Linked DNA regions of Oryzias latipes. The protein of the gene in region 2 purifies or fractionates together with the protein of the main gene of each other region. This does not show direct contact. Links are inferred from orthologs where the notes say so. Each region holds a gene or a part of one and is shown on either strand. Other genes may lie near its edges.

Region 1 (4,140 bases), on a different chromosome or scaffold from region 2:
TAATATTCAGATCAAGAAAGAAAACATGGTATTTCCTCTTACTTTGTGTAGTTATTTAATTTACATTAGTGGCCGTTCACGTTAAATAACATTTCTACTAAATAATGGTAAATGCCGTATACTTATTTAGTGCTTTACAAGCTTTTTAGAAGGCCCAAAGCGCTTTACAGTCACAGTCCCATTCACCCATGCACACACACTGGCGCCAACCTTCCACCAGAGGTAAGGTGGGGTTCAGTGTCTTACCCAAGGACACCTTCCTGCAATCTTTTGATCAGAGGTCGACCCCCTTCCACTGTACCAAGGCAGCCCGTAATAATGACATGTTAATTTTGACATAAAACTAAACAAGTCTATTTTTAGGTTGATGTTGCCTTTATTTATACGTTTGGTTGGTAAAGGATATTCATGGTTAAAGCAGCAGAAAATGCTTTTTCAGATGACCTGCAAACATGTATGAATGGCACAAACGAATTACAAATATGACTCTGCAGCTATATTGTTACGCAATATCAATACATATTAGAAAACATGTTATTTTTAGGTCTCATCAACTTTACTCACTTGAGTTCTAAGTTAATTGGAATTAAACATAAATCAGTACTTTTTGGAGAAATCAATATAATTTTTTGTATCAAATTACCTATACTTGTAAGTTGAGGTGTAACAATTAATCAACATAACTGATTAATTGATTTCTACTTCTACGATCCAACCAGATTGATCTGTCTGAGACAGGTTGTCAACCAATCGACCTACAACAGTATAAAATCGTTTCAAAATGAGACAAATTAATTATAATCATTATCGGAATTTAGCATTTGCATCACAGCAGACAAAACACACGTGATGTAAGCAAAAAATGATCAGTCTATTATTCCAGTCCAATATGTGGAAACACTTTGAATTTAGCAAAGACATGCGACCATACAGTGTGCTAGAATGTTCTAAAAATGTTCCCTTTGGATTATTTTGATGTGGAGAAACAACAGTGGACTGAACTTTAGGAAATTAAGAGGTGAATGGATTTTACATTAATTCTTGTTTACTTGTTTGGTTGTACACACATTTAATTTACACTAGATTATCTTACAAGAAATACAAGGAATCTGGAAAACTTCACCTGCACTGTTCAGTACCAGGTATTTCTGAGTCACACTGGAGGAACTTTTGGCTAAAGATGTCCTGGATCCATTTTAGGTCAGTAAATCGTTTCAGATCAAATGAACCAATACAGACTATGAATTGTACTGGCAACCAGAAATTAGGATATGAATCGAATCATTACACCCAGATTCATGAGTATAATCTCATCCAGTTCACTTCCATGTTCAATAACAGGTTTTTGAAATTTCAGTTGATCATTCAGTACCAACATCTCGTATATACAGCTCGTTGTGAATAAAACTGATCTTGTTTTAATTAGTCACATCCTTGATATGCTGCAGTTGACGCTGATGTCATTGTCCCACATTGGACGTGTGTGATGACCTATGCTTATTGTGCTGTAATTACTTAAGCATGGGAACCGCGGTGCAAACGTGGGACTTTTCCCTTCACGGGATTTCTCCAGCCGAATGTTTGTGGACAAAACACGCGAGATTCCCCACACAGAATAAATCACTTTTGCTTTTTAGTAAACAGTGTTTTACAGCAGTCAGTTTTCTGAGCCAATTCTTCCACGCTCCACGGCTGCAAACACAGTCAGTCAGGCAGCATCTTGCGTGACTTCACAACACGCGATAGGCCTGTCAGACAGCTAATGCTAGCGGAATGTCAACCAACCAGTAGCTCGCTCAACACTAGCGCACTTTCAGACGACTCCCTGGTTCCGTTATTTTCAGTCCCCGGCGGCAATTAGAGAAAGCATGAACAAATAGAGATGGGCAATGTAGCTACTCGGAGAGCAAAAGCAGCATTAGCTTACAGTCCACGTCTAACATGGCCGACAGGAAATGGGAGCACAGAACATTCCAGCGGAGCCGGCTCGGTTTCCTAACTGGACTCGAAACCGATACACTACAGGAGGTTGAAGTTTGGAGGAAGACTAAGTTAGTCTCTACAGACACAGGGTGGCACAAATAAAGCTTTTATTAGAGGCGTTAGCTAAAATAAAATCGGAAAGCAAAGCCGGCGCACAAGGTCAATCCCTGATATGTCAAACCAACTGTCACGCAACGTCAGCTTTAAAAAAGCGTGAGTTTCTCGTGTGACAGAGGCCTAGCGTGGCTCTCCTCGAGCGAGCCACCGAACTGCCACGGCGGTTCTGAAAATATTCAACCGTGCAACCAACAATCAGCAGGATAAAGCTTCAATTGTGGGAACTTAGCGAGGGCTCGTGCGCTCGTTGACATTAGCCAACTGAAGCTAGCAACAAGCTGACTTTTCGGGACGGCCTAACCTGTTTTCTTCGCCTGCGTTTCCTGATGCTGGCACTGGATGTGGCTCTGATCATGTTTCAGACGAAGTGTGTGTTGAGTATAGTTTCTGTCCTCTCCGTGGTGATGGTTTTGCCTGTCTTGTGCCCGATCTTTGGGCTGTTCCTCCATTGAAGTGAAGAATGTCGGACTGGTTGAGGCGGTGTTAGCTCCCTCTTAGTGCCGAACAGTCCAATCACTACCAGAGTGAAACGGAAGCTATTTGAAGCCCGTGTAAACGTCAGCAGCAAATGTCTAAAAATGGCTCTGTTTTGGGTGGTCACCGCCACTTAAATCCACGTCCAGACCCTCTGTTGGCCATTGCAGATCATATTCAAGCGCCTTTGTCGATCAAATCTGCATTTTACTCTAGAATTAGAAGTTAGGAGAACAATAACCCCCCCTGTCAGGGTAGGAAATAACGGGGTGGGGTTCGTGCATGAGCCAAAAATCATATGACCCGAGGCGCTGCCACGTCTCCAGCCAGTGGACAACCTTTGATGGAGGGTCAGCCTTTAAATAAATGCTTTTTGTTTGTTTTAAGTCTTCTAACTGCTGTTTAATATACATACATACGATCAGATACATAAAATATTGGACTGTTTCAAATTTGTAGAATTGACAGTTGTTAAATCAAGAACTTAGTTCAAAGGGGTTTCGCCTCAATTAAACTCAATTCTCCTTTTCATTGTAATCATAAGATTTAAAACACGGGATTGCAGTTATAAATATCTAGAAACAATAATAGGATAGTTTCTTCATTTATGCTTTAAAAAATGAAAGAAAAAGTGTAATAAAAAATACTCGTAAATTTGTTAAGTTTTAGAGTTAATTGAAGCGCCTCACTTTTCAAAAAGTGGGAGAAGTCTGGAATCTTTGAACAGCTCACGCGTTTAGATAATCGTTGAAACAATGCCATCTAGTGGCCACGAGTGGAAGTCCTCAGATTATAATCTCTATTATGAAATTGGCTATAAATAAATATTTCAGATCAAAGCTTTGTCTATTTTTTAAGTTTGAGATTAAAATACATTACAAAAAATACAGCTTTAACATTACATAATTTATAAGCCACCATTAAGACAATTAATCATACAAAATATGTTTTAAATAGCTAATATTCACAAATGATGAAAGTTAAGAATCAAGCAACCTTTATTCACTTCTTCCCTTCTGTTCAGTTAAAGCACTCTCTTGATTCCAACACACTTTTACTGCTGATGTATGCAGTCCTGGCCCCCTTCCACTTGACAGCTACTTTTATATGAAATATTCATATCACTGCTTCATTTAACAGCAAGATTTATTTTTAAAAATGGAAGGTTTCCAGAGAACAGTACTCTCCAGGCACTTGGTTAAACATATCCTGGACACTATTTTTAAAATAAATATGTTGGCAGGTTTATGGCAACTTTTGCCACTTTTTTTCTTTTTTTAAATCAAATGATCCCTCAGATGATTTTTTATGGAGGAAAAGCAAAGACCTGTGCAATAATGGGATAAGAAAATTAATATTTGTTTAATAAAAGTTATTCACTCTAATTTACATTTGTATATCATTTCATCAAGAAAGAGTTGACCATATAGTTAATGTCTTATTTCTGACAAAAGTATTTGGTTTTCTTTTAGACACAATATGAGCACCCTTTCTGACAACTTGACAGAAAAAGTCAAGCTAAGTGCAGTATTTCAACAAAGAATCATGTGCCACGGCACAACCGAG
Region 2 (3,344 bases):
GCCTATCCCAGCTGGATGAGAGGGGTACATACACTCTGAACAGGTCACCAGTTTATTTTAGGACCACACAATCACACCTAGGGACATTTTAGCGTCACCAATCAACCTGTGCAGCATGTTTCTGGACTGTGGGAGGAAGCCAGAGTGCCAGGAGAGAACCCACTCATGAACGAGAACATGCAAACTTCGCCAAGAAAGAACCCAGCTGGGACTCCAACCAGCTAAAAAAATAGTAATGGATTTGATTTATCTGTGGTTTTCCAGACGCTTAAAGTTCTTACAGTGTGTCACATCCAATATTCATTCATACTTGGTGATGGTAACTACTGATGTACCTCAGCTGCCCTGGGGCAGACTGACAGAGGCGTGGCTGCCACTTCCCTCCTACAGCCCCCCCATCACCGGGACATTCACACACATTCACACACGGGTGGAGCCACACTGGAGGTGAGGTGAGGTGAGGTGAGGTGTCTTGCCCAAAGTGTTTATTCATTCAAGTAAAGGAAATCAAACTCCACTCAGACAGCAACACTTTTTAATTGTTTGCTTGTCCGTGCGACCCCCCCCCCCGTGCACCACATTCCCAGGCGCTTCCATCTTTAACAGAAAATAATCCAGACTCATCTGAGGAGGGCAAACAGCAGCCCCCTCCAACCCCCCCGTCTCCAAACAAAAAGCGTAGACCTCAAACTTTGTGGGGGTGCAGAGGTCACTCTCAGAACCGCTCCTGCTTTTGGGTCCAACAATGAACAAGAACCCTCCCAGAAGGAGGTGCTTTAGCAGGCAGAGAATTTACACCCCCCACCCCCACCCCCTTCACCTATCCTTCACAGCGTCATCAGTCAAGGTGAGAGGATGGGGGCTCTCTTTGTCCCCCTCAGCTGTTGTAGTGTTTGCCCTGATTGAAACCGGCCTGGTTAAACTGTTGCCCCCCATGCTGAAAAAACTGTTCAAATTGACCCCCTTGACTGAAACCGGAGCCTCCTCTGCCCCCCCAACCACCACTTTGGCCTCCTCTGCCTCCTCTTCCACGTCCCCCTCGCCCTCCACGGCCCCCACCACGTTCCTGTTGCCAGCTTCCATCCTGGTGATAGTTGTCATGGTAACTGCCTCCTCTTCCGTGGTAACCAGGATCCTGGAAGGCCCCCTGTCCACCCCCCCCAGCTCCGTAGCTTCCTCTTCCCCCCGCATCATGATACCCGCCCCTTCCCCCTCCACTTCCCTCCCCCCAGCTGCCCTGCACTCTGCCCCCTCTACCTCCTCCTCCTCTGCCAACCCTGTCTTCATGGCCCCCTCCTGCTCTTTCATAGCCCCCTCTGCTGCCTCCGTGCCCACTCCCATAGTGTCCTCCGCCCTGGGGTGCATCTTGACGCTTCTGCCAGGAGGGCATCTCTGGGGGCGGGGGCTCAATCTCACAGGGTCTGCCCCCCCTGTCTGGCACTCGTCCCATCAGAACCTGGGGAGGGGAGGGGAGGGGTGGAGATGAAAGACAGTGACAAATGCTGTCAAGACTCCAGAAGAAGCTGTGGATCCAGCTGAGAGAATAAAACATTTAGGTGGGAGCTCTAGAGAAAGGTTAACCCCCCCCCGTTTTACAGGAGGAGTACTACCCCACCTTGTTGATCGCACAGGCCGTCTTCTCCCGGATCTTCCCACTGCTCGTTCTCAGGATCTTGGAGAAGTCCTGCCGCGCAGCCAGAAGATGAGCAACGGAGACGCTGCTCCTGACGGCGAGTACCGAGCGCAGCGGCTGGTACACCTGCCCCAGCTTCTCCGCCCGCACCTGCAGACACCACAGACAGCATGCAGGAGTTCTCTCCCCTTCAGGTTCAGAAAGCCTACCAGCAAATGCTTGACTATCAAGCTGCGTTCACACCAGCATCGGCAACGCGCATTCAAGCCGCCACTTCCCGTCAAAGTCCATGTAAACGCACGTGTCAGCGTGTTTCAGGCCTCCACATTCCAAACTCTCACGTTCACATGCAGTGAAGCAAGTTTTTAAAATCAGTTTTTGGGCTCTACGTACAAAACGCGTGGCCATTCAACACGTGTTGTTCCCAGCCAGAATCTTATGTCACTATGTCTTTCATCTCTTGGAATAGAGCTGTGAAAAGACTCAGGAGGTTTGCACCCCTCTATTTCACACCGCGCCTCTTCCAGCTGTGAGCAGATGCGGTGGTGTTGGGTGGTGACGGACCAGTGTGAAGCCCGCGTGCTAAACGTGGTCATAGAACACGTATGGAAGGAGGCCCGGCGCTCTGACAGGTCTGCCTCTAGGAACCCAGAGTGGGTGAATGAAAACCAAGACAAGAGGATTTTAGAAAACTTACTATTATGATTGTATTGACAAATATTGACAGGACAAAAACAAAGAACATAAACAAGTCTGTCCGTGTCAAGGAGCGTGGGGCTTGGATGTGTCATTTTTTTATCCTTGCACATTGTTTTTTATTCTGTTATTTGTCTGTAAAGTCTGCCCACTTCAGACAGAACTGATCAGAACGTCACATTGTTCCATAATGACAGTAAAGGCTTTCTGTTCTATTCTATTGGGGCTTTGTGTGGGCCGGTACCTTTGCTTTGTCGGACCAGCCGAAGGACTGCACCGTCACGTCCAGACGCTTCAGCAGCGTCTTCCTCCGCACCTCGTACTCGTTCACCAGCGTCTGGTTTATGGCCTCAATCTTTTCCTGAAAGAGCACAGAGCGGTTCACACGGGGAGGGAGCACGGCCCCCACGCTGAGGCGTCGCCTTGTTTACCAAGTGCACAGGTCCAAGCGGTCTCTTCAGCAGCGGCTCCCCCACGTGACCGGCCGGCACCCGACTCAGGGCTTCCTTCAGCTGGAAGAACAATGAAATGTCATTGTGGGTCACTGATGGTCAAATGTTCACACACAAAAAAAATCGCAGGAGGACAAGGTGCCGCGGGAGGACAAGGTGCCGCGGGAGGACAAGGTGCCGGAAGTCAGGCAGGGGAGGACATTTCTGTCAAACAGGTCCAGTTTGTCCTGCAGGATCACTTCTCCAGGCCATGACTGAGGACCATGTTGTGTTTGGATCAAGTCAACTTGAACAGAAATCATGCAACAGCTGGACTGACCTTCTTCTCAATGCCGGTGAAAAACTGGAACATGGTGATGTTGGCTGGAGGTTTGGACATGCTCAGGGCCACGCAGATCCCCTTCAGCTCCTGGAAGACGGGGCTGCCAGCCTCCTGGGCCTTCTTCTGAGGCTTGTTCACCAGGATCATCCTGGAGGCCTCCAGCTCTGACACCAGGAAAGCTGCAGCACAGAGAAGAAGGGCTTCAGGAAGCTGAGGGACTCAGCCTGAAGCAGGAAATGAC
Region 3 (3,992 bases), on a different chromosome or scaffold from region 2:
CATGGAGGAGCTGCACTCAGCTTCTATGCTCCACATATCTGGAAGAGATTTCCAGAAAGCCTTAGATCAGCTGAAACACTTAGTTTATTTAGATCCAGATAAAGACCCACCAGATCTCTGCTGCATTTGATTAGTTTGTATTCAAAAGTTGACATCCACACTGTTTATCCATGCTTCAGTTAAATGAAGTTATTTTTTAACTTTCTTCAAATCTTATTTTAATGATCTTTCTAAATATGTATTTGATTGCTTCTTTAAATGTTTTATGTTAAGCGCTTTGAGTTGTCTTTGCACATGAAATGTGCTAAACAAATAAACTTTCCTGGCCTAACAGTTACATAATATAAATGACTGAACATATCGTTGCAGTCTCAAAGTACCCCCCTACCCTCTAACCATTCTTTGCAGGGTTGACTCACCATCTAAAAAGAGCTAACAAAAACATCAACATTTAAACATTTCTGCAAATGTAAATGTCCAGTGCAGTAAAAAACAGAAAAAAGTCGAGCTTTATTCTTTTGACCCCGTGCGAAAAGTGGCATTAGCTTCTAAAAGCAAAGAATATTCAGATTCTTTTTTAAAGCTGCTATTTTTATTGACATAACACACATGCGGCCTTAGAGAGGCAGTAACATACTTAAGAAACATAAAATAAGGAAAAGTCTTTGATAATTGTACGGAAAAGTCTTTTCTGTTTAGCGTCATGCTTTACTAAATGAGCTGCAGTTTTTCATTGCTGCGGTAAAATTGTTCATCTGAACATGACATTTTTAAACAGATTGACCTTCAAAAGTTCACGAGTAATACACACAGAATTTATGGAAGGAATAATGCCCCCCCCCCCCCCCACTCTACTCTGGTATCTTAATCTGTTATTAGGTATGTGCAGAAAATAGTTACAATGGAACTTTATCATGTTTCCTGCTCTTTACTTACCTCTGGACCGTACGTCTTAAATACGCCTTCGTACACAGAACCGTTTTTCACCTCCAGCTCACACTTTGTCCCCTGCAAAAGGCAATTTTGTTAATGTATGCAGCAACTGTTTATTCAATTAATTTCATTATTTTAAACAAAACAAAAAAGGAACTTCAAATGGATTTGTCACAGAATAAACAAAAAAAAAAGGATCAATCTTATCTTTGTTTATATAATCAACTGTTTCCTTACAAACATTCCTAAGGTTTAAAAACACAGCATGAGTCCAAACAAAAAACTCCAACACTACTATTACTCTGTGAGCTACAGTAATATATTTGTGGTTATTTTCTTTACAATATGTTCGACTTGTGCTTTATTAGTAGGAAATATTAGAAACAAAATAGAAAGACAGTTATTGCAATTAACTCAGGATATTAAGGTCAACTTACCACCACTGAAGTCAAAACGTGGACCATCCTCATATTTGCATAAACACCACTGAAAATGACCTAAAAAAAGAAAGAAAGAAAGAAAGAAAGAAAGAAAGAAAGAAAGAAAGAAAGAAAGAAAGAAAGAAAGAAAGAAAGAAAGAAAGAAAGAAAGAAAATGCACATAATCTGCTGCTCACAATTTGCTGATAAATAAACAGTAGGTCACATCCGAATGACATCCACAAAACATCAGTTCACTTTGGAATAAAGCACAAAATATGCTTTTATTAACCTGAGCTTTTCTGACTCATGGCTACTTTTAAACACAAACTTGTGTTTCACCAATACATTCAAAACACTTGCAGGTAACAGATGCATGTTAACCAGCATGCATACATACATATTAATATGATTTTTTTAAAGAATTATTGGTAACTTACAGCTGCAGGACCTTTACCACCGTGTCTTCCCCTGAGGAAAAAAAATATTTCTATATTGCTGACAAACTTTCTTACAATTGATGCATTCTACAATAAAGATTGCATGTTCTGACTGGGTAAACTCTACAAAACAGCTCTGTACGTGAAAGAAAATGCCATGATCGTTGACACAATAAAATGTCCCATTTCAATCCAAAAAAAAAAAAAAAACATTTCTGGGTGGGCCATTCTAAACCGCCGGGGTTACATAGAGCATGCGAGGTGAAAGGGACGTTTAGATGCACATTTTATATGCACATTCATATGGTTTGTTTTTTTTAAATCCGTGTATAACTAGAAAAAGTCGAAACATTGCTGAACATTAGCGGTTAGGCCTCGCTAGCCGAGCTGCAAAACGTTTTACCTGATGACCAGAGCATGACGCAAGGCCCGCATTTCATTCTCTGACACGCACAAATTTTACCATTTAGCATGTATGTCATCTCTTCAAACTAAAACCGTCTAAAGTGATTATATGTATTTACTGAATAGAGGTCACAGATACCTTTAGTAAAATTTATTTTTACAATGAATTTTGATATTATTACTGACCTGCCCAGATTCTGTCTTCCACCGCCGCTTCCCCCGGCACCGGAGGCGGCCCCACCACCAGCGGTGTTACCACCGCCGGGCTTGCTGCGATTTCCACCGGTCTTCAATGACATAATGATCCCATAAAAAACAAAGTCTTAAAATGACAACTTTCAGACGTGAATTTCCTCGGTGACAGCTTGCCAACGTGCTAGCAGGCTAATGTCAACGTGAATGTTATGCTAAGACGCTTGCTAACTAACTCCGGTGCACAGTTGCTCCCTCAAATTAGCAATCTGTACAAATATTTTTAAAACAGGAAAAAAAAACAAGTTTTAAAAAGACGACGCGCTCCTGAAATCCCCCCAAAAAACGTTACGCCACTTGTCAATTTTTTATGAAACCCTAAAAAAAGATTTAATTTTTTTTTTTCTAAATACGTTCACAGCTAGCTTGGGCTCTTTCCGTTGCTAACAGTGAAAAGACCAAAACAGTCTGAGAGAGACAAAAACCGGCGGAGGGATATAGGAAAGGCGTAACGGCGTATCACATTAGTTTCAATCATTTATAAAAACGTACATGACTGCATTCATTTAACTAAACATATAAATGTAATATTTATCAACAAAAAAAAAAGAAAATTATAAACATACAATTGTCTGTTTATTTTTTATTTATTTATTTTTTTTCAATTTACAACTGCACATTGGCACTATTTTCAGGAAGTCCATTAGTTTTACATGGATGTTTCATGGGATCCACGTGAGCTGGTTTCTGTCTGTATGGAATCAAACAACACCTTGGACACAATAAGTGATGGATGGGTTATAATGTTAATTACTATTTTCTGCAAACGTCCGACTTTTATTCATATTTTTGTGGGTGGGAAAGAAAACCCTACATTTTCTAACTCATGATCCATTCATTTATTTATTTTTTCACGCCTGATTTCTTATTTTAGCACATTTTTATTTAATTGTATACTATAAGAAAAAAATACATTTTACTTACCAACAATCCGCTTTTTTATATATATATATATTATTTTTTTAAATCTTGCCAATTGTGTGTCTTTCTGTTACGGTATACTTTTAATATATTTTTACTCTGGTTGTTTCCTATTTTTTATTAATTATTGGTTTTAGTTGATTTTTTTATTGATTTATTTTATCTTTCATCCCAATGCTTTCCCTGTGAGATTATTCCACATCAGGGATGGTTGCTGTGGTTAGAGGCCCTGCACTGCAGCTCAGAGAATGGGATGCGGATCCGAGCATGCACTGGGTTGTGACAACTGAACCCTTGCTATGACTTCAAGACCTAAGCATTAAGCAATATTTTCTTGTTTAATCCCAGGTTTTTCTTTTTTAATATCAATTCTGGTTTAAAGAGAAACTAGAGGTCAGGGTTTGTGTTTATGAGCCAGATGTCAGCTTTCTGGCACTTTGTGTTGTTTTTGCGTTTAAATTTCTTTTTTAAATAAAGTTTGATTTGATTCCCATTTCTTAAACATGGTCACCCGATTCAAATCCTTATAAACCTGCATTGAACAACAGTTAAGGTTAGTCAGTAGTTGGTTCCCACGCTATACCATGCAGTAGTATGTGACCTTTATTCAACAATTTACTGA

The links. Proteins that work in one complex are often made in the same cells at the same time.
Region 1: the proteins of fam98a (region 2) and nufip2 purify together in Homo sapiens (co-immunoprecipitation; 3 studies listed by BioGRID and IntAct, with this or other methods). This does not show direct contact. The link is inferred for Oryzias latipes from reciprocal best matches to the Homo sapiens genes FAM98A and NUFIP2.
Region 3: the proteins of fam98a (region 2) and atxn2 purify together in Homo sapiens (co-immunoprecipitation; 3 studies listed by BioGRID and IntAct, counting the BioPlex papers as one, with this or other methods). This does not show direct contact. The link is inferred for Oryzias latipes from reciprocal best matches to the Homo sapiens genes FAM98A and ATXN2.

What each region holds. Positions count from the first base shown.
Region 1 is NC_019872.2:16,918,366-16,922,505, reverse strand, and holds the start of nufip2 (nuclear fragile X mental retardation-interacting protein 2), read right to left. Parts: upstream 2,866-4,140; 5' UTR 2,550-2,865; coding exon 2,402-2,549; intron 1-2,401. UniProt on the Homo sapiens protein: Binds RNA.
Region 2 is NC_019873.2:1,647,202-1,650,545, forward strand, and holds the end of fam98a (protein FAM98A), read right to left. Parts: intron 3,283-3,344; coding exon 3,101-3,282; intron 2,842-3,100; coding exon 2,761-2,841; intron 2,691-2,760; coding exon 2,574-2,690; intron 1,784-2,573; coding exon 1,616-1,783; intron 1,457-1,615; coding exon 878-1,456; 3' UTR 519-877; downstream 1-518. UniProt on the Homo sapiens protein: Positively stimulates PRMT1-induced protein arginine methylation. Involved in skeletal homeostasis. Positively regulates lysosome peripheral distribution and ruffled border formation in osteoclasts.
Region 3 is NC_019867.2:7,498,239-7,502,230, forward strand, and holds the start of atxn2 (ataxin-2), read right to left. Parts: upstream 2,866-3,992; 5' UTR 2,497-2,865; coding exon 2,384-2,496; intron 1,824-2,383; coding exon 1,793-1,823; intron 1,431-1,792; coding exon 1,371-1,430; intron 1,009-1,370; coding exon 937-1,008; intron 1-936. UniProt on the Homo sapiens protein: Involved in EGFR trafficking, acting as negative regulator of endocytic EGFR internalization at the plasma membrane.